4 linked regions of the Arabidopsis thaliana genome follow. The protein of the gene in region 3 interacts with the protein of the main gene of each other region in a pairwise test. Each region holds a gene or a part of one and is shown on either strand. Other genes may lie near its edges. The genes, in order: ARCK1, SUA, PPR2 and AT3G22550.

The links.
Region 1: the proteins of PPR2 (region 3) and ARCK1 interact in a two-hybrid assay, tested with the Arabidopsis thaliana proteins (one large-scale study listed by BioGRID).
Region 2: the proteins of PPR2 (region 3) and SUA interact in a two-hybrid assay, tested with the Arabidopsis thaliana proteins (one large-scale study listed by BioGRID).
Region 4: the proteins of PPR2 (region 3) and AT3G22550 interact in a two-hybrid assay, tested with the Arabidopsis thaliana proteins (one large-scale study listed by BioGRID).

What each region holds. Positions count from the first base shown.
Region 1 is NC_003075.7:7,145,190-7,152,214, reverse strand, and holds ARCK1 (Protein kinase superfamily protein), read right to left. Parts: upstream 4,092-7,025; 5' UTR 3,947-4,091; coding exon 3,877-3,946; intron 3,830-3,876; exon of another isoform or gene 3,786-3,829; coding exon 3,688-3,785; intron 3,601-3,687; coding exon 3,390-3,600; intron 3,299-3,389; coding exon 3,061-3,298; intron 2,968-3,060; coding exon 2,829-2,967; intron 2,752-2,828; coding exon 2,443-2,751; 3' UTR 2,290-2,442; downstream 1-2,289. Other genes in the region: AT4G11900 (S-locus lectin protein kinase family protein), read left to right, coding at 1-41, 108-242, 320-474, 598-808, 918-1,155, 1,435-1,585, 1,684-1,974; AGL14 (AGAMOUS-like 14), read right to left, coding at 5,107-5,262, 5,382-5,423, 5,537-5,578, 5,944-6,043, 6,147-6,208, 6,500-6,578. UniProt on the Arabidopsis thaliana protein: Forms a complex with CRK36 that may negatively control abscisic acid (ABA) and osmotic stress signal transduction.
Region 2 is NC_003074.8:20,070,940-20,081,584, reverse strand, and holds SUA (suppressor of abi3-5), read right to left. Parts: upstream 8,484-10,645; 5' UTR 8,280-8,483; exon of another isoform or gene 8,183-8,279; 5' UTR 8,114-8,182; intron 7,787-8,113; 5' UTR 7,714-7,786; coding exon 7,666-7,713; exon of another isoform or gene 7,482-7,665; coding exon 7,441-7,481; intron 7,240-7,440; coding exon 6,525-7,239; exon of another isoform or gene 6,435-6,524; coding exon 6,363-6,434; intron 6,276-6,362; coding exon 6,183-6,275; intron 6,093-6,182; coding exon 6,013-6,092; intron 5,866-6,012; coding exon 5,712-5,865; intron 4,994-5,711; coding exon 4,909-4,993; intron 4,768-4,908; coding exon 4,676-4,767; intron 4,584-4,675; coding exon 4,515-4,583; intron 3,956-4,514; coding exon 3,776-3,955; intron 3,621-3,775; coding exon 3,428-3,620; intron 2,818-3,427; coding exon 1,990-2,817; intron 1,894-1,989; coding exon 1,706-1,893; intron 1,632-1,705; coding exon 1,443-1,631; 3' UTR 1,201-1,442; downstream 1-1,200. Other genes in the region: AT3G54240 (alpha/beta-Hydrolases superfamily protein), read right to left, coding at 1-219, 295-557, 650-659; SCR (GRAS family transcription factor), read right to left, coding at 8,960-9,389, 9,504-10,645. UniProt on the Arabidopsis thaliana protein: Splicing factor that controls alternative splicing of the developmental regulator ABI3. Reduces splicing of a cryptic intron in ABI3, leading to a decreased in ABI3-beta transcript. Regulates the splicing of the receptor-like kinase SNC4/LRKL-2.6.
Region 3 is NC_003074.8:1,954,574-1,961,599, reverse strand, and holds PPR2 (Tetratricopeptide repeat (TPR)-like superfamily protein), read left to right. Parts: upstream 1-3,295; 5' UTR 3,296-3,359; coding exon 3,360-3,686; intron 3,687-3,808; coding exon 3,809-4,942; 3' UTR 4,943-5,191; downstream 5,192-7,026. Other genes in the region: ATG8H (Ubiquitin-like superfamily protein), read left to right, coding at 5,326-5,368, 5,466-5,521, 5,926-5,978, 6,083-6,201, 6,293-6,381.
Region 4 is NC_003074.8:7,988,845-7,996,265, forward strand, and holds AT3G22550 (NAD(P)H-quinone oxidoreductase subunit, putative (DUF581)), read right to left. Parts: upstream 4,745-7,421; 5' UTR 4,119-4,744; intron 3,968-4,118; 5' UTR 3,962-3,967; coding exon 3,234-3,961; intron 3,059-3,233; coding exon 2,983-3,058; 3' UTR 2,559-2,982; downstream 1-2,558. UniProt on the Arabidopsis thaliana protein: May act as an adapter to facilitate the interaction of SnRK1 complex with effector proteins, conferring tissue- and stimulus-type specific differences in the SnRK1 regulation pathway.

The sequences.
Region 1 (7,025 bases), on a different chromosome or scaffold from region 3:
TCTTAGACTTGCATCTTCAAACATCTCAACTGCAAACAACCGTGAGTATTTTCACTAACAAATAAACGAATGCGTTGAGATATCTCTAAACTCATTTTTCTACTCAGGAAAAACAGAACATTCTAAAGGCAAAAGCATTGTGTTACCACTTGTACTAGCATCACTTGTAGCAACTGCTGCATGTTTCGTTGGTTTGTATTGTTGCATTTCTTCAAGAATAAGAAGAAAAAAGAAACAAAGAGGTGAGATCGGTTTTAGCTTTTTGCATAATCACTATACAAGATTTCTCACTAGTTTCTGAAACACGAATTATACGCAGACGAAAAACATAGCAGAGAGCTATTAGAAGGTGGCCTAATTGATGATGCTGGAGAAAATATGTGTTACCTAAATCTACATGACATAATGGTTGCAACAAATTCTTTCTCTAGGAAAAAAAAGTTAGGAGAAGGTGGTTTTGGTCCAGTCTACAAGGTATTAATTAAACAATACAATTAATACTGAGCTTGTAAGTTTGTTTGGCTAAAGGTTTAAACAAAGTAGCTAGTTTGAATATCATCATCGTTACAATCTTACTATAGAAACTTTGATGGGCAGGGAAAGCTACCAAATGGGATGGAAGTGGCAATCAAAAGGCTTTCAAAAAAATCAAGTCAAGGTCTGACAGAGTTCAAGAATGAAGTTGTTCTGATCATAAAGCTTCAACACAAGAACTTGGTGAGGCTTTTAGGGTATTGTGTTGAAGGCGATGAGAAGCTCCTAATTTATGAGTACATGTCGAATAAGAGCCTTGATGGTTTACTCTTTGGTGAGTGGTGAATATAACTATCCAAAACTACTACATTTGAATTTGAAATATAAATAATTGACTTCTTAACGTTCTGTTTTTGGGCACACATATATATATATCTATATAGATTCTTTAAAGTCTAGGGAATTGGATTGGGAGACACGTATGAAAATAGTAAATGGGACGACAAGAGGACTTCAATATCTGCATGAGTACTCACGTCTCAGGATCATTCACCGAGATCTTAAGGCAAGCAATATTCTACTTGACGATGAGATGAATCCTAAGATCTCAGATTTTGGAACCGCAAGGATTTTTGGTTGCAAGCAAATCGATGATAGCACCCAAAGAATCGTCGGGACATTGTAAGTGTACATCTCGTATAGTTAGTTATGTATCCACTTGTTTCAAACACTAAAATGTTGAGTTTAAGTTTATGTTTCTCAGTATTATAACACACATACTTTTTTTTTCATTCCTAGTGTCTTTGCAACTTATTTATGAATGATGTTTGAAAAAACTAAAACATTGTGCTGAGGTAAGTACATAATTTTTACATGTCAATGCAAAGGAAAAAACAATCACTACCTATATGTATTTACATTAGAATCTTTGGATTAAATTTCATAAGCGGTTAATTTCAGCGGCTATATGTCACCGGAATATGCATTAGGTGGAGTGATTTCAGAGAAATCGGATATATACAGCTTTGGAGTGTTGTTATTGGAGATCATATCGGGTAAAAAGGCGACAAGGTTTGTTCATAACGACCAAAAACACAGCCTTATTGCTTATGTAAGTGTTTCTATAGTTCAATATCATTTATCTACCATATATAAAAACGTAACTTACCTTAGATCAATCCCAAACTATATGTTGTTGATCATCTTCAGGAATGGGAATCTTGGTGTGAAACAAAAGGTGTAAGCATTATAGATGAACCAATGTGTTGTTCGTATTCTTTAGAAGAAGCGATGCGGTGCATTCATATCGCACTTCTTTGTGTTCAAGATCATCCTAAAGATAGACCCATGATTTCACAAATCGTTTATATGTTGAGCAACGATAACACTCTTCCGATTCCGAAACAACCAACTTTCTCAAACGTGTTGAACGGGGATCAACAGCTAGACTACGTATTCTCCATAAACGAAGCAACGCAAACAGAACTGGAAGCGCGATGAACATTAACAATACTTGGTAAAAATGTTGCTATATCCCCTGAATTATTATTATTTTTTATTTTTTTTTAATACCAGGAGGTTCTGGGCCGAAGCCTGTAATCTTCCAGGCCCGAAACCACAACATGTAATATTAGTTTCGTTTCAAGTGTCACTCGAACCGGCGACCTATAAGCTTCGTGTAGGGTTTTTACCAATTGAGCTAACGACACTTGGTTATCCCCTGATTTATTAGATAAGAGTATTTACTTAAACTGCTTATGTGATGCTGAGAGTGTTCTTTAAAATATTTTATTCTTTGTCATTTGAAAACAAAGTAATCAAATAATTGTTGAATCGTCCTAAATGGTCTTACTGGATTTGGGCACAAAAAGAAGAAGACAATAGCAAATTACGACTTGAACTTATCAACCAACAATTCTTTTCATCATAAACTCTCGTCAGTCTAATAAAACAGAGCACTCAATCTCCTTAACGTGAAGATATGGGTGACGTGACAGAGCTGTGACCAGGAGATAAAGATGGCGACCAGGGCCAATTTGTTTCTTCCTCTACAAGAAATCTATTACCAAATGTTGGATCAGGTAAAGGAGTAGAGAAACAACTAAACCAATGCAGAACTTTATCAATATTCGGCCTTCTCTCAGCATTCTCATCCACACATAGCAAAGCAATGTGAATGTATCTCAAGATTTCGCTTATCGAATATTCTCTTTCTTCTTCCCTCATCACTTCATGGATCACATCTATGGCTTCTCCTCTGTTCCAGCATCTCCTAACCTAAAAGAAGACAATTCATACGATTAAGGAACCACTTAATTACCATCATACAAACTTTTACTTAAATATAAACTCACATATTTGATTAGAGAGTCTCCGTCCACACTCCAAGCCTTCCTTCTGCTAATGATCGTCAAGATTGTAACTCCAAAGGCATAAACGTCAGATTTGACGGAAACACGTCCGCTTCGTATGTACTCCGGATCTAAATACCCTCTGTTGATAATCAAAAAATGTTTTATACATCACACTCTAAACATCTTCAAAACATTTACCCTCAAGCATGTTAAATCACAAAACTTCACTTACACGGTACCGACAATTTCAGTTGTTTCAGCTGCGTTTTCACCTTGTTGCATCGTCCTCGCCAATTCAAATCCCACTATTTTCGGTTTCAAATCTGAATCCAATAGAATGTTTCCAGGTTTAATGTCGCGGTGAACGACCCATAACCCGGATTCTTCATGAAGGTAACGTAGCCCTCGAGCTATGCCATCAATAATGTTTCGGCACATCTCCCAATTTAGCTGAGCAGCTCTGTGTGGGTCTGTAACACATTACCACAATGACTAATGATGAGAACTTGATACTAGACTAGATTGTATTTGGAAAGGGTACTCTGTTTTAAACTGTCTAACCGAGTATAAAACAATCGAGGCTTGAGTTAGGCATGAACTCGTAAACAAGACCATGTTGGTCTCGTTTAGTGCAGAAACCAAGAAGATTGATCAGATTCTTGTGTTTAAGCTTAGACAAAATAATAAGTTCGTTATGAAACTGTCTCTCAGTTCTAATTGAACTTGTAGACAAAATCTTGACTGCTATTTCTTGTCCATTTTGAAGCCTACCCTGAAAATGATTTAAAAGGATGTTTTAATTACAATTTCTTACCATACACTAAAAACGAACCAACGTACGAAACCACTAAAAACAAACCTTGTAAACAAAACCAAATCCGCCACGACCAACCAGTTCTGAGAAATCATTTGTTGCAGCTTTAATGGTGTCCAAGTCGAATTCGAAAACTGCTGTATCTAGTAGAGACAAGTAGAATTAAACATAGTTTTGTGTGTTTTGTAACAGATGTGAGGAAAAGGTTTGAGAAGAAGAAACATGAATACTTACAGCTTATAAACTCAGTAGACTTCTTCTTTCTACGTCGGAAAACGGTATCGAGAAGCGAAGTAACGGCCATAGCAAAGATGAAGACGAAGACAGTGTCTCTGAATTTGCTTCAAACAAGTATTTAATCCAAGAAAAAAGAAGAACTTATTAGACAAGTTATTTAATTTCTTCAACGGTTGACTTCGTTGATATTGTTAGAGTCCACTATGTTGACCTTGACTTCTACTATTCATTTTGGATATTTTGGCTTCTTCATTTGTTCTTGCATTGTTTTTAATACGTAACAATTAACTTATTCTGAATATTGATATTATATAGTTTGGTATTGAAAATCAAATTATATTTCAACTAAAATGAAAATGAAAAATATATTATTTAGAAGTTTACTTTGTTTTGTTTTATTTGTATGTAGGTTCAATAAATAACAAAAAATAAATAGATATTACATAAAACATAGAAGATATTAGGTCTGTTGTTATAATAAACATATATATATATATATATATATATATATATATAACCATAGAATTCTACCATTTTTTTTTGTTTGTCACAAAGAATTCTACTTCAAGATGATGTTCTTGGAAGGAACGGAACTGAATTTTCAGCTACTTAGAAATTTCGAACCAAACCAACCACGTCACGTAAATGACACGCTGACAAAGACCGATCATAGAAAGCCAACGATTTTTGGGTCTAGACCAAGTGTAAAAGGACTTTAAGAGGTCGGTGCAATGCAACTTTTCCCGAGTTCAAAAGACCATACCTCTACTAGGATTCAAAAATCTTTCCAACTGACCCATTATTCGTATATAAATCATACATCATCTTCATGTCTAGCATGAAACATGGAGATCTTATCCGCAAAGCCATTATAGGGAACCGACCTAGCTACGCACCCGGATTTGTTTTCACTCTCCAAGAACTTGTCCCGAACATATAATATATCGATCAAATTAGTTATATTCTAAACAATTATTTTTAAAAAGATATGAAAAAATTATGTTAAATAAAAAACCTGTTAAACAATTTATTCTGAAATTATTTTAGGATTGCAAAGTTGGGTGAGACGATACAAAAGAAAAAAACAAAAAGAAAAAAAAAGCAAAGCTTAAATGCAGTAATCTTTTTTTTTATGCAACTGCTAAATTCAGTAAGTAACATCAATTTTTCTTCAGGGAAAAAAGTAATTCCCTACATAATATCTATATAAGCATTGTACTATATATGTTAGTTTGAAGGAGGAAACTTTTTGAAGTGTCGAGTCTCAGGAGGTCCAATGAACAAATCAGTCACCACTTCCATTTCATTGTCATCTATATCCAGTTCTGATGTTGATGATGATGATGATATTCTTCCTATTATTCCTCTTCCTTGCATCTCACACTTCATTCACACATTTCCTCAAATTAAAACACACTTTTTGAAAAAAAGCAGATAATTTCATAATAATAGAATGAGAATTGAGAACATAAATCAGCCCGTAAGTTAATATTAATTTGTACCTTCTCCATCAGCATTTTATTTTCTGCAATGAGGTTCCTCTCCTAAAATATTGACAATAAACCATGAAATATGGTTTAACCGTTTAATTATGGGAAATATGATTAGTACCTGACCAATACATTTGTACTAAATTAATAAAAAAGCTACATGTTACCTTTTCTTTTAATTTCTCAGTTTCTTCTCGTAATAACTGGTACTGAAATTAAGGAATTAAATAGCTAAATTAGTTGGTAAAAGACTCATTAAAGATAACATATAAGGTGATGACAAAAAAGAAGAAGAAGATAACATATAAGTCTTTTCTCAACACATATGCATGCATGCATGCATGCCTCCAAGTGTGTGTGTGTGTGTGTGTGTGTGTGTATGTGTGTATTTGGAGTGTTTATAGGATGATCCCATGTTTATATTGTTTACATAATCAACTCATTTGTGATAATCGAACCAGGCGGCCACCACGTCATTGTCATAAATCTCGATGAAACAATAACCATATGATAAGAGTGAAGATTTTATTTTAAAACTAAGAAATGATCACATATACAATAATCTAGAAGTTACCTTTTTGGCTCTTATTTTCATTAAGCTTCTGTCCAACTGGTTCTCCAATTGTTGTAACTCTTCTATAGAAGATGCGTCAAGTCCTTCTCCCATCATTTTTCTGCAAATGTATATATTTTTTAAACATATGGTAAATAGACGCTTACAATGTAAACGTTACATTCATAACAAAATATTCGTATAAGTATTTTGAGTTCAAAAACCGTGTCGAAATCTCCAAATGTTCGATCTTTCTCGCCAAGCCATAGGTTTCGTCCTTCGATTGCTGTCAACAAGGTTTGATCATGAGAAATGCAAAACATATTTTCTTAACCAAAATTGTAAGTACAAATATTAATATAAAAAATTATCACCCATGTTCGATAAATAAAGCATACACTTTAGCATGTATATTAATTTTTTAAAAGTGGTACACCAAAGGATCTACACCATAAAATTGTACTAGATATTGATATAGAATTTCTTTTTACTTGAGCTCTGGATAAGTATATTTTTAGCAAATGTATATATATGAAAATAACCATGATAAACTAACAATTCTATGAAGTTTGGTTACCTGTGAATTATCATTTCTCTTATGGTTAGACCCGAGATCTTGTATTCGCTTTTGATATCTTTCTACTGTTTTAGGTATACTGAAATTAAAATTTCAAAAATCAAATCAGTATATCAAAAACAAAAACAAGTCAAATTAAAGGAAATAATTAAGAAGCAAATGTCTAAGCTAGATTTCTCACAATTTAATGATAATGCTTATAGTATTGTGATCTAATAAAAATTGTATCAATCTTCTGCTGATCTTTTGGATTTATAATGAAGTAAGAATATCAATAACTAAAACATAATATATAAATGTTGCAATCTGAGTTAAAGATATCTTCTAGTCATGTGGATATGGCTTAATTAAGTAATTAAAAACTGATTAACAGGTAAATACAGTATGTGTAAACAACACCTATAGTTAGTTTTGATTTTTAACCCTCTTGGCTTGCTTCAAAAAAAAAACTAAAATATCATTCTTTTTTTTTGTCTAATAAAGTACGTACATGTAATTAAATAACCACATAGTAAACATACAAAAT
Region 2 (10,645 bases), about 18 Mb from region 3:
TGCGAGCCTGTGAGGAATGTATTTGAGAACACCCCAAACGGCTTGACCTCCCATTGAGTATCCAACCACGTAAAATTTGGAACCAAGTTGTAGTTGGTCAGCAAGTTGTTCAACGTCATGAGCTAAAGTCTTTTCATTGCGACTCGAGTGAGGATCGCTCTCTCCATAACCAGGTCGATCATATGAAACCACGTAGATGCCATTTTTCTCGAGAAAGCCCTGAGAGACAAACAATGCAATTACAGAAATACTCTATAAGAGAAATAGTAAGAGAGAAAGATATCAAATCATTACAGGGCGAACACGGTTGGCGATAACAGCGTCACGCCTAAATGTCGAGAATGCATGGATAAAGACGATCTTGAAAGTGGCATTTTGTCTACTAACTCCATGTTCTTCATAGGCTAAATAACGGCCATCGCTGAGACGTATCCTAGGGGCGGTAATAGGCGGTCCACCTGGGGTTCCGCATCTCTTAGGAGGTGGAGGTGTAATGGAAACAATAGCCCATGCCCCTAATCCAATCAACACTATTACCACTGCTCCTGTTATTAACCCTATCAAAATATTCAAATCAATAAATCAGTGATCACATTTCCTTCATCCCTTTTGCAAAACTTACGTTTACTTGAATCAATCAAAAACTCACATTTCTTCATGTTGAAAAAACCTTGATAAAAAAGTTGGGCAATACCAACTTATTTCAAAAATAATTGGTATGGGTTTTAAGTGTAAAACTATATTTATAGGGTTGTGTAAAAACTAAATTAACAGAGAAAAGCTCTTCATTTGCATCTCACGTTATGACAACGCAAATCACGGTGGATTCACTGAAAGATCTTTTGAGGCATTTATCCGGAAATAGCCGGCAGCAACTAAACCCAGCCATTATAACAATGGTTCCAACTAACGTATTAACCAATCTGTTTTTGGGAAGAGCCAATGACAGACACGAGATTAACTAGTTTTACATGTCACCTTTACTAACAATTATGATGAAAAAAAAGTAATGCCTAGAAATTGATATACATCAATGCATATATTCTTCTCGAACACCTGCAAACAATACTTTTTAGGTTATTAATGTGCATGAGCATGAAATAACAATTAATTATTATTCATTAACAAAATAGAATTCTGAAATTTTCAAAAACAGTTGTATTTATCTGATATTTTTTGTGAGCTAACTTTCGTAATTAAAAGCTTTGAAAGCATATATTATTTTGGTAAGTTTTTTAAATACTGTTGTTGTCTTCGGGTCGTTGTTGCCTCCAGATACATTAATAATACAAAGGTTTTAAGGTCCATATAAACTCAAGTAGTACTAATCTGTCTCTTTTCATTAATAATAATTTAACAAAAAGAACAAAATCAAAATCACTTTCACAGTTTAAGCACAACGGAATTTAGAAGTTTCCAACTGACTTTACACACAGAGAGAGTCAATTATTGTCAGACATGTCACGAAATCTCGCAAGTGCTTTCTTATGGAGAAGAGTTCTGTAAGTGTCACCAGGCTGAACCTCAAACTCAGCATCAACTTTCTTCTGCTGACTCCCAAGTCCTGCTCTCCTATCAACGCCTTGCGCTTGCACCGGTTCTTTCATTCCGCTCCCGTCTTTCCCCAAACCCTGACCACAATCCAACAATCACCATTAACATATAAACGTTACCCATCAATCAAATTTCTGGTTTTTAAAGTTACCGATCCTTCGTGCCAACCCATGTTCCTCAGCATTCTGTTTCCCACGTTACTCTCATCTATTGCTCTCTCTTCTGTAATCACATCGAAACTACTGACTTCGGTGCTTGTTGTAATCCCACGTCCACCCACACCAGGAGGAAATGGTGTTGGATCCGATGAACCTTTCCTCAACCCCATTAAATCCTCACCTTCATTTAAACGAACCATTTTCCCAATTATAACAACAATAAAAACCTCATTTCAGGATTCTATTTTTAGAAAAGTCTAGAGTCAAGGGCTCTTACTTGAATCAATAACATCATTTCCACTTGATGTTGATGAGCCATACAAGTTTCTTCTTTCTGCAGCACGGTCCCGGTATGATGTCTGAGGCTGTTCTCTATGAGTAGGCCCTGCAGTCGGTGTTTCAGAGAACCTTCTTCTCCCACTCCCAGAAACTGAAACCGAAGCTGGAGAAGCAGAAGGTAATATTGGCGGCATTTGTACACTAGCTGAAGAAGAAGCTCCACCCAAAGTTCCTCCAAAAGAACCTCTCATCACCCCCATCAAAGTTCCTCCTGTTGTACTGCTGCTCGAGCTTTCTGCAGTTGTCAGGGCAGAAACTCCATGATTGGAGGTACTTCTCTCCTTCGCAATAATTACATCAGATTTCAGTTTGCCCATGGATTGTCCAGTGGAGAAAGACGACCTTGCTTCAGCCGAAACTGTAGGTGGATTGTCACCAAGTGAGGGTGAGGGACGTTGTATTTGGGTTTCATGGCTCCGCTGCTTCCACATTGTTAAAACGTTACTCATTTTTTTCTTGCTGGCGAGTAGGCTAGTCTTTGATGCAAGTTTTATCTCTTTCACTCTCTCTTTCTCTCTCTTCTCTGATGCAATTGCTGCTGCAGCAGCCGCCTGAACCGCATCTGGTAAGGACAGAACTTTTTCTACATTAGGGGTAGTAGCCGCCGAGATAATAACCTTTTGTTGACTGGATTTCTCCTTCTTGGCAGAGTCTGGTTGGTTTTCTGTTACTTTACTCTCATTGTTCTGATCAGGACAAGGAACATATTGTTGTGTTTGCTGGTCATACGAGTACCAAAGCCCACTATTGCTGTCATAATAGAGACCTGTATATTTAGAAACATACGATTAATAGAGAATATTACCCACTTCTTATACCAGTGAAACCAAGTTTCCCATCACCACACACCAAGAAGAGGTGCCTAGTGATAACCAAGATCATTAAAACAGTCTATCATTGTGCCATATCAGATGCGAAATTTTAAGGCACATACACATATATAAGAAGGCATAACTCAGCAATAACTAAAAGAAAAAACTTCCATTGGAAGTCCAACAGCAGCCATAATAGTAATCATATAACACTTGCTGAATCCCTACAGCCATTATTTAAAAGTCTAATTAAGACATACACTTGTATGATTGATTGATTGTATCTCGATGTTTGCTAGTTTGGTGCATACATAGTATAAGAATTCCACAATCATAAAAAAGAACAGGATAGTTTGAACAAACCAGAGCTGACGACTTATTTTTGCCAAGAAGTTATCCTATAATAGAATACATCTATAGCAGGACTATACAACCAGCCAACAGGATCAATCTTACTTTTGCCCATTACATGTTTTGCAATGCCAGATATGGGAATTAGAGCTGCAGCTACCCAACCATACAATCAATTCAAAGAAATAAATAACAATATAAGTAAATGCCGACCTGAATTTCCATCGTAGTAGTATCCAGAAGCCGCATCATAGTAATAACCAGATGCTTCATCCCACACATAGCCAGACTGTGGAGCAGAAGTCCCTTTCTGGGATTCAATTTCCCCAACACCCTGGGCCTGCCCTCCAGTGTTTTGTTTCTCACCAGTATTGTATTCCTTTGGAGCCCATCCAACACCGTCATACTAATAAGGACCAACATGAGTGTCAGGGCACATGGAGTAGAAGAATCATAAGAATGACAATCCTCATCTAAAGATACTGGAAAATTTAATTAAATGATCAATGTGTGATCACCAATACAAACGAGGGAAACTGGATCAAAACAATCTTCAAGTACCTGTTGAGAAAACGTTGCTGCTTCAATTGCAGCAGCAGCGAGGTTGTTGGAGTGCGAGGGTGCTGATATACCAGTTCCAGAACCATGAACACTCTTTGCATACGCAACTCTAAGAATTTTACCATTCCTTTCAAGAGCTGTTCTGTTTGTTGCTTCAAGTGCCTTAGTAGCATCCTCAACCTACACGAACATAATCATAATCTTCTGTTTCAAGTTGGTAGGTGGATTAAAAAAAAGTCAAATACACACATAAACTGGGGGAAAATAGATATTTGGACATATCAAGCAGTTCTACTACAAAATCTGATCACCGTTCAGATATGAAATTGGTAAGAGAATCAGTGACGAAATAAATAATCTACTACAAGAGCTTTTACAAGTCAATGCAAAAGGTGGTTGTCGAATGTAGATTATAAAAAAGTACGACAAAATAAATGATTGAGTGCGCTCACCACCAAACATTGCCAAAAATACCCACAAAACTAGTAGATCATGATTACTAAAGAGACACTTAAACATTTATAAAAAAAAAAAACTATAAAACATAATCACTCTTCACAAGCAGAATAAAAACCAGGTGGTACTGATCATCTAGACTGGGTTTCTAATTTCTACACAATCGAATAAATCTTTGATCAAAAGGCACACTTGCAATTTAAATCATCAGTAAGGGAAAAGCGAAGCAGAAGAGAGAGTTTAAGGAGTAAGTTCAACAACCAACTTGGCTTTGAGACCCTACCGAATAGAAATGCACGAATGCAAATCCTCGTGAAACATGAGTGAATTTGTCTCTCACAAGACGAAGATCCTACAAAATGGCGGAAAGAGGAAAACCAGGTCAACTGACATATAAAGTACAATATCTTAATAGACAACGAATCCAAAAGGGTTTTTGTTAACCTTGATAGGAGCATGTTTGGAAAATTCATACCGAAGCATTTCCTCATCAGCATCTTCATCCAACCCACGTACAACCAGGACATGAGTTGGACCTGGAAAAGAAAATAAGCAGAATGTATCTTAGGTATATATGGCATGTAGAAAAGTACAAAGACTATGGCCTTAACAGTTGCGACTGTTTCTGACTCAAGAAAGAAATTTAAAACATCTTAAATAAAAATGCTGATCAGAACCTGTCTCAGAAATTCGTTTTCCTGCTGCAGAGTTTGATAAACCTACATCCGCTGAAGGAGAATCCTTGGTCTTTGGTTCATTACACTGCATAAGGAGACAGAGATCACAGACATTTATGCAATGGCCACAAATTTGTTATTCCATATTATAACTGAACTTAGGACTTTTGAGTGTTCTATCATAAATCAAGACACAGACAGCGGCATGGCAAAGAAGGGCTACAGATACAATTGTCCACCACAAGATTAAACTATTGATAAAGACTTCACAGAGTTTAAGTAAATAGAAGGAAAGATAAATTAAAAACCCATCAAAAAAGATCAGTTAAAGGGTTTTAGTTGACTTCTTTTTTTATTGACATTTGAAAAATGGAAATTTCTCTATTTCCAAACAAACTATTGTATATGCAAACAAATACATTCTAGCATAGGTATGGACATCAATGTGTCGACATTAAATTAAAATGTTCATTTACCATTACTACCAAAATATGTATGCCACCCTAGTCTCAAACAAAGTGTCAATTGATGATACATATTCGTCACCAAAAGGAACTGCAAATAATCTCTAAGGAGCAAAAAACAGATATATTCTGAAAGTTTTATCGGTTCTATTTTTTTTAAGGTATTGTCGTCACCAAATCATGAGTAGTTATCACTTTGTTTGAGACTCTAGAATCACCAAACAATGAGTAGTTCTTCCGGTAATTAAATATATGTAATTTCTGTTCTTAACAGATGGGTTTATACTCTAGTCCTGACAATGAAATTTACAGAACTTTCATCCAAAACAATGCACCAACCTGAAAGCAAGAGGTTCGCCGCGCAAAATTGATACAGCCACAGATTGTACAGATCCAATCTGTGGGAACTATCATGTTTCGACTTCCACCATAACTGCGTCTAGAAGCATGTTCCTGCCTACGGGACACACCAGCCCTACCAGTAGGTTGGCTGCTACAACACACGCAATTTAGTGTAAGAATGTTATACTCTGATACTGAAACGGTCAAGAAACAATAATTTAAATGTGTAGTAATTCTATGATCCCTCCATAGGTAATATCTAAATCAATCAAAGTCTTATGTTTATTTAAAAAAAGACCTGTAATGGAACATAAGTTTCCTTCCATCCAAAACTATACCATCATGCTCAATTCTATCCATCATGGTGCGTGCGGCATCCTGCTCAGACAAAATACATAAATGCACACAGTGTTGAAGAAATCACAAGAAAAAGCGCAAGGAATTAACAGATTAGTTGAAAGCAAATACCACCGTGGGGAAATCAATAAAAGCAAATCCACGAGAAATCCCAGAATTTTGCTCCCGAATAACACGAACATGATGCAAAGGACCCCATTCAGCCTAGCATGCACATGGGAATAATGAAGTCATGCATGAAAAATTGTTTAAACCTGAGGACATACAGATTCAAAAAAATGAAGAGTTTACCAGAATCTGGTATAGATCTTCTTCTGTTGATTTCATAGAGAGACCCTTCACAACAACAGTGGCGGATGGGGTCTAGCAAAAACCATAAAAATATAGGAACGGATTTTTTAAATGTCTTCGCAACAAAAGAATATAGACCAGGGATGAGAGAATATTTTATACAGCAGAAAAATGATCCTGGTTATGTCTATCTTCATATTCTCTTCGCCTCTCACTTTCATTCCAGTGATCCCCCTCATAGCTGTCCTCCCGGTAACTCCGCCCATGGCTCCGACCTCTAGGAGATCTTGATCTAGAGAACTCCCCACGTCCGGTAGATCGAGATCGTGACTTCTCATATCTCTTATGAGGACTCTCATCTCTTTCGCGGCTGTAACATCTTTTGTCCCACTCCCTATCACGTGAATCCCATTCTCTATCTCGAGAATTCCGTTCTCTGTCCTGCGGATCACGGCTCTTTCGACTGCCATCTCTCACACTGGCCCTTTCATACTCAGAATCATAACTTCGGCGAGTATAATCATAATCTTTTTCACGACCATCATCTCTGCTATGATGGTAATTTTTCGATCTATAGTTGTTATCATTACAAGAATAGTCATCGCAGCCATCATATCTGGACGACCTTTCGTGTTCATGATCACGGTAATGTCCATTACGACTCCCAGCTTCACTATCATGATAATAGTCAGCAGCATAATTTGAATCGATGTAAGGCTTTTCTTGCCTGCGAAGTTCACTGGGATAATTTTCTTCATAGTTTCGCTTTCTAGATTGAGGCAAGTCACCCAGAGTATTATGTCCAGGTGGATAGTTGTAGACATCATCCCGCATCAACCTTTCATCAGGATATCCGTCATCATATGATACGCCAAACCTGTAAGAGCAATGTAGTATAGGTACAGAAAAGATATTAAAAAAATGAAATATGAACTATCATGAATATTTCGGCACAAGTAACCAAACCAAATAAAGTACAAGAAATACAATTTAGTTACAGTAGCTAAAATAAATATACCCCCATGAGCAATAACAAATTAACAACTACATCAATGTAATCCATTTTACTAGCACTCACCGATGATTTGGATCATGCTGAGTACCATAACCCTCCGGAGCCTGTGAATTGAAGAGAATAAGCTATGTCAGCAACAAACATCATTGACGGATATTACATTAGCCAAATCCCATCCACATCCTCACTCTCCCAAGTCTCTCACTCCACGGATGAGTTGAGATTCATAACATCCCTAAAAATATCTTGTTTATCATCCCATATATGTAAGGAGAAAACCACAATTACACTGTTATTATCCCATTCTTGCTGACGACCATATCGACTAGGATCCATTTCCGGCCAGTGCACCAAGCAAATCTTTGATGGTCTGAGAGAATATTCAAAGCTTAATATTTAAAGCTCTTTCCTGAAAATCACGTATAGAGTCTGAGACAGGTATATCTTAATGCATATATAATTAAGAATTCCCAACACTGATCACAAAGAGACTTTGTAGGAACTAGCTAGAGATTCTCTCACTCTCAGAGTAGAAAAACATGCATTGGCGATGAAGTAACAAAAGCACGAGAAGAATGCATACAACAGTAGAGATCATTATATTTTCAGCTGACGATTAGGCCTAAATTCTCAGTAATCGAGTCTTAAAAGCTATACAAAGTAACATACAAAAAACTTGAACTGGTCACATCCACGAAATCCTCAATAAAAAAGAAACAGGTAAAAATGAGAATACCTGTGATGAACTGAAAGCAGCACAACGACGCCGGACCAAAGACACCAGTGAATGGAAGATGAAGATGAGCTGTGATAACAGCGGAACAAAGACTTGGAATAAGAGATTGATTAATAGATAGAGCGCAAAATCAGGGAGCCGATAACCAGAGGTCAGAGAAACAAGCCTGAAACCGGTGACAAATCAGATACGCTGCGATCGATACAGAAACGAGAGAGCTCGAGCGATGAAGTAGCCGTATAAATCGGAATGGTTTCTACCGTGGGAACTCAAATTGAAAATATTCAACAGCGATCGATGAATTACAAGAGAAATGAATTCAGAGCTCCACGGTGGTGGACTTGGCCGAATCCAACTTTAACCAGATTAGGGTTTCGTTGTTGTTCAAGCGAAATATGAAAAGGCGTAGATGAGTTTTTTTTTTTTTAATTGAAAAATCCAAACATCTCAATTTCTTTGCCATAACAAAAATAAAAAACAACATGTATATATTTTTTTTTTGGAAAAAAGTAAACCAAAACAATTCAAGTTGCTAAAAAAAAAATACATAACAATTCCCAAAAAAAAAAATGGTAGCCTTCAAAAGAATTGTGTATTTGTAAATGATTTTTCAGTTAAACGTGTTATCATTTTTATTATTGATGTACCATTTTCAAGTGTTTTCTTCAATATCAAGTGTTCTAATCTTCATGATTAACTTCTATGTATTCCACCAATCAGGTAGCCAATACAGAGTGTGAGTGAGAACAATTTGACTTCAAAAAATCCTCTCTTTTTGATACATAACAAAAAAAAAACAGGTAAATCTATTTATGGGCACATTGTTTGTGAAAAAGGAGAAGAAAACTAAGAACGAGGCGTCCAAGCTGAAGCAGTGAGTAACGAAAGATCTTTCCATCCAAGCTTAAGTGTACCATTATCATCAACCAAAGTGTAACCATCCGAAGGAAACATTCCCAACAGTAGAGTCGCTTGTGTAGCTGCATTTCCAGCTAAAGATATACCTTTAAACCCACATTGTTGCATTTTCTCCCTCCAGCTCTCAAACTTCACTTCACCGCTTCTCGATGGTCCTCCAACCGCTAATACATTCCGTATCTCTTTCGATAATAGCTGCTGTTCCACGACATGTCTCTCTTCACTCTCTTCGCCGTAGCTTGCTCCCAGTGAGTCAAAGAGTGCAGAGTAGTAATGTATTGCTTCTACAAATCTTCCTAAGAAAGAACCAGCGTGGCTCAAATCTTGTTCCACTACTGTCACAACTTTAGGAGCTAATCTGTTCATTCCCCAATCATTAACCAAAAAAGCCACTTTTTAGAACATATCTTTCCTATATAATCTTAAAATAATTTATAGATAAAGAGTGATTAAAAGGTAATGTTTATTTTACCTTTGGAGTAACCAGAGAGTGTGTGCATCAGAGCCAGTGACATCATAAAGAGAATGTTGAAGCCAGTGAACAGCCACAGCTTCCCTTTTCCTCACATTGAGTCTCTCAGTGTCCAAGTTTCCAACTTTCTCAGCTAAAGGGCAGAACTCAAAAGGCAGGCCAAGCTTATCTGCGAAATCCGAAAGACGTTTCCCTGTAGCCTGAAGAGCTTCCATGGAAGTACCAAGTCCCGTGAGTCGCACGTGTGGAGGTCCTCCAGGTCTAGAAGCAAGAATGTGGAATAAACCAGGCCATTGAAGTCCCTGCATGATGTCCAAGTCAATGATGTGTACACTGTCTTCTTTCTCAAATGCTTCTTGAATCGCCTGATTCGCTGTAAAGTGTGAGAATTTCACTAAAGGGCTTATCCCATTAAAGACCTGAAACGCAGAGACCATTTTCAAGCTATGCGTTTGAGGCATCCACCGTGAAGGCAAAGCCGCGTAAATTCCGAGACACGAGTTGAGTAATCTCGCTGACATAGCTTCCGAGAAGTAAGCAGCTACTCTCTGCGCTGAGGTCCCGTAAGGAGTTGATAACTGAGAGATCTCAAGAAGAAGCTTGTTTGCTTCTTCGAGATTATCAGCAGAGACAGCTTCAGCACACTGTAGCAGCAATGTGAGAAGGTGTAATCCTTCTTCGTCTTGCTTCTGCCTCTTAATCTCTTCCTTCCTCTCTCTTAAAGCCTCCGCCGTATTTGTTTGGACGGCGGGAACAGTGGCCGTCACTGTCTCTGGTTGCGGTGGTGCATCGGTAGAAGAATTTTCTCTTTCTTGCTGCTGAATCGGAGGAGGAGGAGGCTTATGCTGTTGTTGTTGTTGTTGGTGCTGCTGTTGCTGTTGTGGAGGAGAAGGATTGTTGGAGATCTGATAGAGAGGTTCGAAAGTTTGAGGAGAAGGGTCAGAGGAAGAGGAAGGATCAAGGAGCATGAGAGATCGGAGCCTGTATTCAAGAAGAGCACCGAGATTTGGGTTACAAGGGAAGATAATGTCTCTAACGTTTTGGATAAGTTGAGGAATAGAGACTGAAGTTGAGGAATGGATAAGGTCTCTGATAATGGCGTCAACCCATACAGTAGGTGAAGCAGAAGAAGATGAAGAGTC
Region 3 (7,026 bases):
TGACGTCCGCCTGATGACTTCTCCTCTTGTTCTTGGTTAGGCGTGAGTGATAACGAGGTCGGTATGTTTAATGAGGTTATGGGATGTTCCTCTTTAATCAGCGGCACTTCCTCGTTGGTCAGTGTTATTGTCCTGACTGCCGGGCTGGAAGTGTCATCGCCTAGGATGATGGGGTCGATAGTTCCTTGAAGTCCTTTTCTTGTCGAACATGCTGCGATATCGAATGAAGAGGTCGAGTGACTGGCTCTCCCGGGGATCGACGTTGTCGTTTTACTTCCAGAGCCTGACGAGTCGGTATCGAATGCTCCATGTAGTCTGTTTGTTGTCACTTTGCTTCGTCGCGGGGTCGTAGTTTTGAGAGATATCTTCGAGCTATCCCCCTACCTGGCGCGCCAACTGTTGATGCACGAATCACACAAGTACGAAAATGGGATCTCTAGGGAAGGAAGAATCTTTCTATTAAAGACGAGCCTGCGACTTAGGCGAATTGGACGGATTTCAAAGGATGATTTCTTCAACGAGCATTGATGGAGTAAGAACGAGCTGATTGTAGATGAAAGGCGAGCTTGAGGCCGGAAGACGAACTTAATGTCCGAGGAAGAATAGAGTTTATTCGTTTTATAGCTGAACCTTGTAAAAGGTTGCCTACGTACCCTTAGAAAGGGATCAAGCCACACGTAGTTCATATTAGAATAAGTGAGCTAGGCCGTCATTGGAGGTAGGTCGGCAGGTAGTTGACGAGGGATGAGCTATAGCTAGACGAGGAGTTGGACGAGCTGACTAGCTGACAGCTAGGCGGCGAGGACATGGTCGCTGTGATGGGAAGAGCTTGAAGACGAGCTGAGGAGCTTGAGGACGAGCCGAGGAGTTTGAAGAGCTGAAGAGCTTGACGAAGAGGAGCGAGCTGATGAACTACTTGAGAAGGGCCCAATCCGACCCCTAACAAAGACTTATGTTTAGATATGTTTTCATGCGATCCAAACTATACTATATATTTTTTTGGACGGATTTTTTAATAAGTTTTATGGAGTTCACAGACGAGTTTGAACGAAGCGTTTTCTTTATATATGTGCTATGCGAAATAAAAACTTGAAGACAAATTTAAATAATAATGTGATGTAGTAGGGCAATTGCATAATCGATAAATCCGGATAAGTGTGCCCCGATACAACAAAAGCAACAACGTTTACGAAAATTTAACAAGTCCAAAAGTAACAGACATGATAATAATATCCTCATTACAAAACTCAACACACGATCAAAATAAGTGAAACATAACATAAACCATAAACCCTCAAGTTTCAATACGTATCAGGAGATTTAATGGGGGGGGGGGTTAAAATCATATACTCCTCCTTGCCGAACTATTAGGGGTCGGATTGGGCCTACTTGGCCCAATGCCCAAACCCAAGTCAAAAGCCCAAAATAAGTTCCAAACCAAGGAGGAGTATTAAGGCGAAGGGTAGTTTCGTCAAATCCCTCGATGAATGCCCTACACGCGTAGTGCTATAAATACGGAATAGCATGTCATGTCGAAGGGGGGAATTCCGCCTGACACGCAGACACAGAGTAGCTCGCCTTTCTCAAGTAGCTCGTCAGCGAGCCCTTCTCAAGAAGCTCGTTAGCTCGCTCCTCTTCGACAAGCTTATCAACTCGTTCTCTTCACCAAGTCCCTCAGCTCGTCTTCAAGCTCTCCAACTCGTCTTTAAGCTCTTCAAACTCTTCAGATCGCCATTAAGCTCAACAAGCTGCTAAGCTCGTCTTCAAGCTCCTCAACTCGTCTTCAAGCTTCTCAGCTCGTCTTCATGCTCCACTCAACGACCATCTCCTCGTCTAGCTGTCATCTATACAGCTCGTCCAACTCCTCGTCTAGCTATCAGCTCATCCCTCGAAAACAAAACTCATCTACCTCCTCGCCTAGCGGCAGTTCGTCCATTGACTGCATAGTCCACCTATCTCGTCGTCCAGCTCGTCTAGACCTTCAGCAAACAACTCGGTTTATCCAACTCGTCTCTCTACCACGGTTCATCCAGCTTGTCGCACATCTGCCGGCTCGTCAACTACCTGCCGACCTACCTCCAATGACGGCCTAGCTCACTTATTCTAATATGAACTACGTGTGGCTTGACCCCTTTCTAATATGGACTACGTGTCGTCTCGCTTGACTATCACCGAGACAGCACATTGTCAGCTCGCCCGTCTCACGAAGATCGTCCGTCTCAAATAGCTCGTCAGCTCGTCCTTCTCAAGTAGCTCGTCAGCGAGCCCTTCTCAAGAAGCTCGTTAGCTCGCTCCTCTTCGTCAAGCTTATCAACTCGTTCTCTTCACCAAGTCCCCCAGCTCGTCTTCAAGCTCTCCAACTCGTCTTCAAGCTCTTCAGCTCGCCTTAAGCTCTTCAGCTCGCCTTTAAGCTCTTCAAACTCTTTAGCTCGCCCTTCTTACAAAAACAAAAAAGGATATCAATTATGTAGATCAAAACAAAAACAAAAAAGGACTTACAAGGACGTAGATATCAATTATGTAGATCAAAGAATAAGCAGTCCAAATTCCAGCGTTGATGAAACGAACTAACGATAGCCAAAACGGCATGTACTTGAAGGTCTTAGTCTCCGGCGGCATTTTGTCCTAATTGTTTCACGCATTAAAAACTTATCAAAACCAGTTTAATAGTTTACTTATCTATATATTCATCAATAAGTGAGAGCCAGAGAGAGAGAGAGAGCTTACTATGGTAAATAAAAGATAGATGATAACAATGTTGTAAACGTTGCAAACAACACCAATGAATGTATGCTTGCCGGCCGGATAAACTCCCAAATCCCCAGATAGTCATACAATAGACTGTTGCCACAAAACTAAACTCCAACGGAAGCAATAGATAAAAGAGTAATATCTGCACATCAACATCGACATCATCAAAATCAATATACAATATTTTTCTGGATTTGTTTTTTTTTTCTTTGGGATATTTCTATAGAATTTAGTCAAGATTGTGTTTGTTTGTTACCACCTTTTGTGCACCAGTCACCAATCCTTATTTTTATTATTAAATCTATTTTTGATACTATAATTCGTGATTTTCCTTTTAGTTTTATATATATATATACTTACAGAGATGCGAGCTTCATATTATTATTTTTATCTTTTTGAACACCAAAAAAATAGCCTCGTATTATTTTTAAATGATCAATTATGTGATCATATTTAAAAATACGATCCGGTTTTTAAGGGATTTGAACGGATCAAATGTGTTTCCGGTTCGGTTATATAAACCGGTATTTTACCATATCCAACCGAAATGAGTATCGACGGGAATTATCCGTAAACAGAGTGACAGTGAGGTGTGAAGGAAGAAGACGATGGCGTCAATGTCTCTCTCCTTTTCTTCTTCGCTATGTTCATCCAGAATCCCCGAAGGTAAGCGTAGGTTTCGTCACAGAGATGTGGGCATCGTTAGATGCGTTTTGGCTGCTTCGAAATCTTCTCCGGGAAGTGTTACGAAGAAGAGGCTTTGGAAAGACGGCGAATTCCCCGGAATCACGGAGCCGGTTAATCAGAGAAGAACTCCGATAAAGAATGTGAAGAAGAAACTTGACAGGAGAAGCAAAGCTAACGGATGGGTTAACACCGTCACTGAAACTTTGTCCGATCTCATCGCCAAAAAGCAGTGGTTACAAGCTCTCGAGGTATTTCGATTTTCTCTCTTCTCGTTCATGTTTGATTGAATTTGAACTCAATTTTGAATCACGAGTATAATTTAGCTGAAAGATGATTTTGATTGAATTGGGTATTTTGTTGATGATCTTAGGTTTTTGATATGTTGAGGGAACAAACATTTTATCAACCAAAGGAAGGAACTTACATGAAGCTGCTTGTTCTTCTCGGTAAATCTGGTCAACCCAATCGTGCACAGAAGCTGTTCGACGAAATGCTTGAAGAAGGACTTGAACCAACTGTTGAACTCTACACTGCTCTTCTCGCTGCTTACACTCGCAGCAATCTCATCGACGATGCTTTTTCAATTCTTGATAAAATGAAAAGCTTTCCTCAATGCCAACCTGATGTTTTCACGTACAGCACTCTGCTCAAGGCTTGTGTGGATGCTTCTCAGTTTGACTTGGTGGATTCGTTATACAAGGAAATGGACGAGCGTTTGATAACTCCAAACACTGTGACCCAGAACATAGTTTTAAGTGGGTACGGTAGGGTCGGAAGGTTTGATCAGATGGAGAAAGTTTTGTCTGATATGTTGGTGAGTACTGCTTGCAAACCCGATGTGTGGACTATGAATATCATCCTTAGTGTGTTTGGAAACATGGGTAAGATAGACATGATGGAGAGCTGGTACGAAAAGTTCAGGAACTTTGGGATTGAGCCAGAGACTCGGACTTTCAATATTTTGATTGGTTCTTATGGGAAGAAGAGAATGTATGATAAGATGTCGTCTGTCATGGAATACATGCGAAAGCTAGAGTTTCCGTGGACAACATCAACCTACAACAATATCATCGAGGCGTTTGCGGATGTTGGTGATGCAAAGAACATGGAGTTGACATTTGATCAGATGCGTAGCGAAGGTATGAAAGCAGACACAAAGACCTTTTGCTGTCTCATAAACGGATATGCCAATGCCGGTCTTTTCCACAAGGTGATAAGTAGTGTTCAGTTGGCTGCTAAGTTTGAGATACCCGAGAATACTGCCTTTTACAACGCGGTGATATCAGCGTGTGCTAAAGCAGATGATCTGATAGAGATGGAAAGAGTGTACATAAGAATGAAGGAGAGACAATGCGTATGCGATTCAAGAACGTTTGAGATCATGGTCGAGGCGTATGAAAAAGAAGGTATGAATGATAAGATCTATTACTTGGAACAAGAGAGGCAAAAGCTTATGGATCGCACTGTTGCTACAAAAGAGATGGAGAATCTTCCGGCAGGATGATTGCGGTTTGTGTGTGAATCTCTCTCTCTCTCTCTCTGCAAGGAGAGATCGATGTCTCACTTGAAAGAGTAGAATAAAAGAGTTTGTAATACACTTGATTGTTCTTGCAGCTATGCGTGTTATATATTTTGATGGGCCCAAAATTATGAATAGAGGCCCATAGATAAACTGTGACGTGCACAAGAAATCGGACAAGTCCAAAAAGTGGATAAGTGCGTGTCGTCTTTCTATAAATAATCTCTTTTCTCTCATCTTTTACCGTTTCTTCTCGAACAATCAAAAACGAACTAACCAAACATAAAATTGAACACATCCTCTTCCTCTGCTCTCTGCAAACAAAAAAACACCGATTCGGTCAGGAATCATTCGTCGTGAAATCTGTAATGGGGATTGTTGTCAAGTCTTTCAAGGATCAATTCTCCTCTGGTTTGTTCTTCGTTAATCTCTTTCTGATTCTTTGGAATTTTTTTTCCTTCGAAATGTGCTTCTGAAGCAAAGTTTTCATCTTTGTTTGAGGATATAGATGAGAGATTGAAGGAGTCGAACAACATCATTGCGAAATATCCAGATAGAATACCTGTAAGTTATTTCATAAATTTCATGTTTGATTTGTTTCTTGGTGTTTCCGTCTTAGTTGCCGTGCGATTGTGGATTTCCTTAGGGTTCGAATGATTTACTCAATTAAAAAAAAGTCTTCGTTTGACTTGCATCTCTCGAATTTGCTAGAATCTCTGTTTCAATCTTAGAATTTCTTCGCCATGGTTTGATGGATACGATCTGGGATCTGAAATTTGACTGATTTTGTGCGGTTTGGTGTTGATCCAATCACTCTGGTCAATGTCGGAGACGACTTCTTTAGTTGAGATTTGATCTATCACCAACAACAACCCAAACCAATTTGATTTAGGGATTTGGATCTGTTCTTGGTTTGGTTTCTTCATCAGATTCCAGCATTTATGGATGGGTTTTATTTACTTATGTAGGTGATCATTGAGAAATATTCAAACGCAGATCTGCCAGACATGGAGAAGAACAAGTGAGTTGTGACATCAATTTAGCTGTTGGACCAAACCAAGTGTAACCTGTCTAACTGTGAATAATCTTGTTTTTAACTCTGTATCCCGCATTTGTTTATTGTAGATACTTGGTCCCACGAGACATGACTGTTGGACATTTCATCCATATGCTAAGCAAAAGGATGCAGTTAGATCCATCCAAAGCTCTCTTTGTTTTCGTACACAACACTCTTCCTCAAACCGGTAAGATAAGAAGTATCATCATCCATGTAGAGTGAGACTTTACCTGCAGTTTTCCAAAGCTTTCCATTAACACTTGTCTTGAATTATGCAGCTAGTCGCATGGACTCTCTCTACAATACTTTCAAGGAAGAAGACGGGTTCTTGTACATGTGCTACAGCACCGAGAAAACTTTCGGCTAACAAAAGATTTGTCGCTTCATATCGAAATCGAAGCGCACTCTGAATAATCCATTTGTTTGATTCCTATGTTTGTGAATAACGTCAGCTCTTGTTGTTACTGTTATTGTTGTTGTTAGCTGACATTGTACAGAAAAGCTAAAAAAAAGAAAGACATTTGACTTTGTAAATTATGTATAATCCAACTATGGCAATAATAATAAGACCAAGTGATGATGATTCACACGAAACTCTTTTTGCGTTTTGTTCTTCCCTATAAAAAAAGAAAAGAATATAGATACTTTCGTGGAAGCACGTAAGTTTGGGGAGATGTGGTAAAATGAGACCTAAAGAAATTGCAATGTCGGTGCGGCGGTAAACGTGTACCCTACGACTTGGATTGTGTGTTTTATGCGATAAGGTTTTTAAGAAAACCGCAATTTTTAGAATATTGTTTATGTATATCCATCCATCATATGGTTAATCTTCTCTACAAGTTTATTTTGCCTCTTTTGTTTATACACATTTTATGTTCCGATTACATATTTTATTCCTTCTTAATCATCACTTCTAACATGAGGATTTAAAACTTTTCTGTTTCCAACGAGTTTATAACTACTTAATTAATGCCTCTATTTTAGTTCAATAGTGATTAATGACGCGTTGGCA
Region 4 (7,421 bases), 6.0 Mb from region 3:
CAGAGGTTAAAGTCGAGTGACATATAATCTTATAATGGTGTAGATATTGAATGCTATATATATATATATGTCCTCCTCTTGTATAATTACATGAAAATGTTATATAAAAACGATAATACCATGAATCACACAACCAATTAAAAGCGATATGAATCTTGTGAATGAAACAAGAGTCAGCTATAGTTGCCATGTGTGCATATGAGACCAACGATGTTTTAGTAAAGGGCCATACCTATATGCATGTGGGGATGCCTATAAACCCAACTAGATAATTAAAATAATAATAAAAAGATCACCATAGAACTGATACAGGGAATATAGAAATTTATATTTTGGATTCTTTTGTGTGTGACTAGTAAAAATCTTGAGACATAAAAGCAAAATTAGTATGTGTAGAAAAATTGATTGGTGGATACAAGAACAGGTTTCATATGTCCAATAGGTTCATTGGGTTCCGTTCAACCTCTCGACCTTGTAGCAAAATGGAAATGCTTGTCCTACCCATCACATGTCTCATTCATGTATATATGTCCTAAAATGGATAATAATCAAATTGTGGGATATCTTGATAACAAAAAAAAAAAAAAAAAGAATGGTAAATCACATATGCTAGTTTGTTTTCGGTTACATGTTTTGTCTGAACAAAATGTCTAACCAAAGAAAGAAAACCTCAGTTATAAATATATGTTTGACAATTTTGTATAAATTCATTATCATCATCAACCTGTTCGGGCATGCATGTGATTTGATAATTAATACAATGACGCTTTGATTGGAGTTTTGACAAAATTAGCGGAACAGAGAAGCCTTTACTTATTGACCTAATTGAGCTAATATTCATTTTTTTTTTTGTTAAGTAACTTTTGTTTACTATTTTTTATGAAGTATAAGATTCAATTAATGGTCGCATGTTAAGTAGTAGCCAGAAATAAAATTTTCACGTGTACATGTATGCATAATGCATGTGGGTTTGTCTTTGTTACCCCTCGAATTTGTTTATTTGATTTTGTTTTCGATATGCTATAAAATATGGTGTCCATTCAAAATACTACTAAGCAAATTTGCACTTATATAAACGTGGTTTGGTTGGGATTAATCATGCACCTTTCCAATGATCAGATAACACTATAATAGTAATATATATATATAAAAGGACTAAAATTGCCTTTGTAAACTCTTATCCTAGAGCTTTCTCGCACATCTCATTCTTTCTCGAGTTTTGACAAGCTTTCATTTGAAGATTTTGTGAACCCGGATTAAAGTCATGGGTCACATTAACTGAGTGATCTACATCCGCGATTAGCCTAGTCGGACTTGGCTGATATGATAGTGAAAAACTTGAGTTAAAGACATGGAAGCTTTAGAGAATTTTGAATTACTTCATCATATGTATCTATACAGTTTTTACCAAATGGATTGTTCACCGGAACTGTAATGAAAAATGTACTAATTACGAACCTCTCAAAATACAATCAAGCCTCCACTCGTAGGACAAATTGTCAAAGAGAGAATTTTATCTGGCCCACCACGTGTATTAGCCAATCACGCCGCCGCTCGTAGGCCCATAAGCTGACTTCAAAGTTGGATTTTGTAAGACTTCATGGGTCCGACTTTTACGAGTTGCGGACTTGCGGGAACATAAACTAGTAAACTATTCCTAAGCATATAACAAGTAATAAGTGTTATCTGTGTCTATGTAGGTTAAGTGCATGGAAATACAATCTAGTTGATATGTGTTCAACTAAATAAATCAATGATAGTAGAAATACCAATCGTAACCATACCAATTGCTTAGCTTCAAACATAATAATAACGAAATCCACTATATATAGAACTTCGGTTTAGTATGGTTTGTTTGTGGATTGAACCAGACCGTTTAAGAGCGCAATTCATGTTATATATAAAAGTCAGTCGAAAATAAGAATGATTGAAACGGGCTCGGGCTTTACTTAAATCATGATCCAGAATGTTAAAAATCTGACCCTTAACAGGCTTAAGCTTTTGAATATATATATTTTTTTTTTGTCAACTAAGCTTTCAAAATTGCTTTAAATTTGTTTATAATTGGAGTGGTGAGGATCTTATACAAATTTTAATGGTTAACATAATGTACCTCACTAATTTATATCATTTTTTGGAAAAAATAATCAGAGTTTTTAATGTTGACAACGAAACGGTGTCAGTCATTCTTGTATAATTATTATCTCAAATAAAATTCAATGTGCTCATTTAAGATAGTCACTCAAGTAAGACATAAATTATTAGGATTTTGATGTATCAATTCAAATTAGATGAGGGCTATATAATAGTGTAATGCTCTTCGAAATAGTACTACAAGTTGTTTATATCACATTGTCTCTTAGATAAAGAAAAAACAAAAGAAGGATGTGAAAACACATAGAGCTTCTTGATCTATAACATCATTTCCACGTAACTAGCCATTGAATATCCTCAATGTGACATATCTTTGCAACTGTCTTTTACATTGTTCGATTGTCATTTCATTGTTTGTTATCTTCTTCATATCAAAACATAGTTACTTATAGTAAGAAAATCATACATGCATCTATAGCTCGGTGACTAGTTAGTAATCTAAGGAGATTTTCAAATCACGATTTCAAACATTGAAGACGAGAAATAGACTAATTTACATGTCCGAGTATCAAAACACGAAACTAAGAATTATGTGTCTTCTCCTTCTTGAATTTTGATGCTCGTGTTTTAGTTTTCTGTCTTGACACCGCAAATGGAATTGAGTTATTGTGATCTCTACTGTTTATTAAAGATTAAAAGTAACCATTAAAGTAAAACATGTATATATGATTATGCATGTAGACACATAATACACATAGATACCGATACCAAACTCTTCTCCAAACCAAAACAAAAGCAACTAAACAAAATTCACCATATCTAACGTTTTATTAATCATAGTCATTATCATAACTTTTTTTTTATATATAGCTCAAATAAAAACTTATTTCATTTAGTATCATTTTCCTCTGACATCATCATCTCTATGGACCTGCATTCACTGCTACAGAAAGCTCTATCTCCCCTGCAAATTAAAATCAAAACAAAAATTACTTATTTATTTATTTTTAAAAATTATTAATTAAAAAATTAAATTAATTAGCCATTCTAAATATTAATTTTCTCATAATTTATATTAAATTTCACATTGTAAATGTCACCATTTAATTGAAATGTAAAAATATGAAAATAAGCCAAACCTGTACATGAAAATGTCATCACGAGGCCCAAGACTCTTCTTACAGTTACAGCAACAACTGAGAAAACTGTCGGGTGGGGAATAATCCGAATCCGATTCATTAACCGGGTCGGAGCTCCGGAAGAAAACGACGCCGGGTTGGCTCTCAACGATACAGTTATCGAATATATGAATGGTTCTCGGGTTAGGCCCGTGACACGTCACGCATGTGTAATCCTCCGATAACTCCATATCGCTCGCCGGGAAATAGCCGGAGATGATTCTGGGAGACCCAAGACCCGACTCGGAACCCGGTTTCTTCGTCTCCGGTTGAGAATTCCTCGTTTTGATCCCGAAATCCGACGAGGAAATCGGAGAATCCGGGACCCGGATCCGAAGCTGAGACCCGAATAGAATTGTCCCGGATCTCGGTCCGGGTTCGGGTGTTTCGTCTTGGATTAGAGAATCGACAATGGCGAGTCCGATTCTTTTGGGTTCGAGTTTGAGACGGGTTTCGGGTTCTTGGGTTTTCGGGTTATCGGATCCAAATGGGTTTTTCAAAACAGAGAAAGGTTTGGTGTCGAGAATTGAAGTTGGACTCGCGACGGCGTCGTTTTCAGTGAAGCTTTTAAAGCTACTAAAAGCTGTGAAGAGCCTCGGAAACGGCGTCGTTTTACTCTGTTTCTGATTCTGACTCTGGTTTGTTTCCGCCATTAAAGCTTGCTTGCTTCTTGATCTCTTCTTTAGCATAATTCACTGCTCAATCACACACACACACAAAAAAGATCAAAACTTTATAACAATCAAAACTTTATAACAATTACACAAAAAGATCATAACATGTAACTCAATAACACATAAAAATCATAACTTTGTAACTCAATCATGCAAAATTGTGTGAACTAACCTGGAAGATCAGAAAGTTACAGGTTGTGGAAGTATGAGAGAAAATGAAGCTAATGCAATTCTGTTGCCTCCATGATTAGAGAAAAAAATATGAAAGTGTGACAAAAGAGAAAAGTAACTGAAAAGACGAGAGCTTTTTTTCTACAAAAATGTTATTTTTTTGTATAACTCCCGAGTTTCTCGCACTTTCTTCCTAAAATATTTTATTTATCAAGTGACATGAAACGTTACACTAGAGATTGGAGAAAAGAAGAAGAAACAAACAAAAGAAAGAAATTGATCCGTTTATTTGTTTTTGTTTGCTTTTGCTTTTTATAAATAATTTGGTTTTGTATGTTTAGTGGGTTATAGTTTCGATGAACTGAGAAAGAGAAAAGAAAACAAAACATCCCCACTGATTCTCTTCCATATCCTCAAAATTCGCCATGAAGTTTTTTCATAAGCAGAAGAAAACAGAGAGCACTAAAGAGACACACACTTAGCTTCTCTATCAAATAATAATACTTATATGAATCACATATATAGAGGGAGAGAGATTTACAATAGAAATCAGTGGGTGAAGAAAACCACTTCACCAGTGAAACTTCCTAAATTCGTTTTATTGTATAAATTATTATTGATTTTAGGAATTTTGTCTTTTTATTCTTTGCTGATTTATTATTTTGCTTTTTGGGTTATGCCAAGGAACCACTCACGTCGTTTTCTACTGACCCTTTCGTCTTTTTATTTTATTTTGGAATTTTCTTATAGTTTTCTTTCTATATTATTTTATTTGTTTATTTTAGAGAAAAGGAACTTTAGAAATTTAATGAGAAAGAAGTTGAATAATACTCGTGTTGTATATCGTACTAGTTACGACTAATCTATCAATGGAGGAGTACTAATGTACTATCACAAATATTGAAATATATGTGATTTATTTTAAGTATTATAGTATTATATAACTTTTCGTATTTTGATTAGAAATTCACATTATAGTGTACTAAAACGTTTTCAAAACAGAAGTTTGCAAAGTTGTTTACGTCTTGCATGTCATTTAATATAGAAGAAAAATGTACTTCTCACTTGCATATGGTGATTAAGTAAATTGTCTATTACTGTTAGGTGATAACATTACATATTTAAAAGGTGTGAATAAGAAAGATATTGAAGAAGACTGTTTTGGAGATGGAAATGTAGAAACAAAATATATTATTCTACTTCATTTTCATCTAAAATTATAGATGGGATATGAAAGACAGAAAGAGATCCTTTGCTAGTAAAATAATGTCACATATGTATATGGATTTATCGATCATATCTTCTTATCGTGACTATAAGTATAACTTTATCCATCAAAAATTTCTCTTAACCGCAGTTTCTTCAACGGGAGTAACTCATATAAACACGAACTAAGCTAGTTTCTTCAACGGGAGACAAATAGAGATGATGAATACGAGAACTTTTGGTTCTCTTTTAAAATCATTATTTCATATATACTTTTTCTCGTGTAATGATGTTAAGGTACGTTGTGGTGGTGATGATGACTATATTGTTAGCATGGGAGCTAAGTGTGGGTGGACTCGGTCGCTCAGAATCGTAATGGAATGAGATACGATCATACGTACGAATATATTTCACAATCTTAACTGAATATCTCTTTTGCTTTCGTAGCTGGCTAGTCTCTTTGGGTGGACATTACACACTTGTTATATTATATATGTATAACACGAAAAAAATATCACTACTTAAAACCAAAACTAGTGATAAATTCGTATGAGCAAACTTGATAATCATTACTTTAAACAAACACTATTAATTGCTACTACATACTCTATGGTCCATAAAGTTTAATGTTTTAGGTTTTATTCTTGTTCCATAAAAATTGACTAAATTTTAACCCGCGGTATACCGCGGGACGATTTATTTTTTAAAAGTAATATATATTAAAATTTGCAAATTTTATTTTTATAAAATATTTATATTTTACAGTTTATAATTGTTATTAAGTAAGGCTATAACACGAATCTATGAGACAATTGTTGAAAAACTAAAGTTGTAACCCCTATTAAAACAGCATATTAATAATATTTTAAAATTTTATAAATATTGATTCAAATACATCCACCATATAACCCAATTACAAAATAAAACTCGTTCTATAATTTCTTTACCCGTCCCGTGATTTTTTTTTTAAAGTAGTAATTTTTAAAATTTAAGAATATAAAAGTTTTGCAAATTATATCATTCTCTAATACATTTATATTTTATATATAGTAACATTATACATACCCCATAACATTTTTGGTTTTATATAATCTTTTCTAAATTAGGATGATTTGATATGTTTAATATTAGTGGTCTTAAAAAATAATAAATTAAAGATTTAACCCGTATTGAAACGGTATATTAATTATATTTAACTTTTTTTATTAATGTTGATTCAAAAACCCGTCACTCCAAATCCGTCTTGCCAAAAAGCCATTTATTTTATTAATATTAATTTTATTAATAATATGACTCTGAATTATAATCTAAACATTTTAGCTAATAACATAGGAGTATACCATTTTTATTTAATAGGGGAATGTACCATATGACCCGAATACACTTTTACCCAAATCCACCAAAAAAGTCTTGCAAAAATAGTATAGAGATAAGAAACGATAGTCGGTTTTGATAGGTATAAGATTAGCAAATATATTAGTTAGCTTAAATTAGTTAAATAATACAAATTGAAAAGGTATATTACACTTTATTCGAATATAGTATCAAAACTTATATAACACATAGATTTGATAAATTTTTAATTGTTGAATACTTTTTTTTGTGCTAATTTTTATGTGATTAAGATTTAATTTAAGATTTAATTGATTTTGTATATAAAATATTAAAAGTAAATTGTGAGTTGTATATGTTTTGTTGATATTATCTATATTGTTTAGTGTTTAAGATTATACACTTGTAGTTTGATTGTTAATTTAAGAGTTTCACATGTAGTATACCATCTTGTATTAATATCGATCTAAACCCGTCAATTCTACGATTTTCCAGCTTGTATTAAAAATTGAATCACATCATACACATAAAAAAATCTAATATGTTATTAATTATTGTAGTATATAAGATTATAAATTTTCAATATAATATGTATGAAATTGAATATAAATATTTCAAATTATGACCCGTTATAATATTTTTTCATGTATTGAACAGTTTATATTCGTTTTCAAAAATTCAAATTATGGCATATGCGAAAAAACTCTAATTTTTTTTTTTATAATGATGATATTATTTTTCGCAAAAATAGAATCATATAAAGATG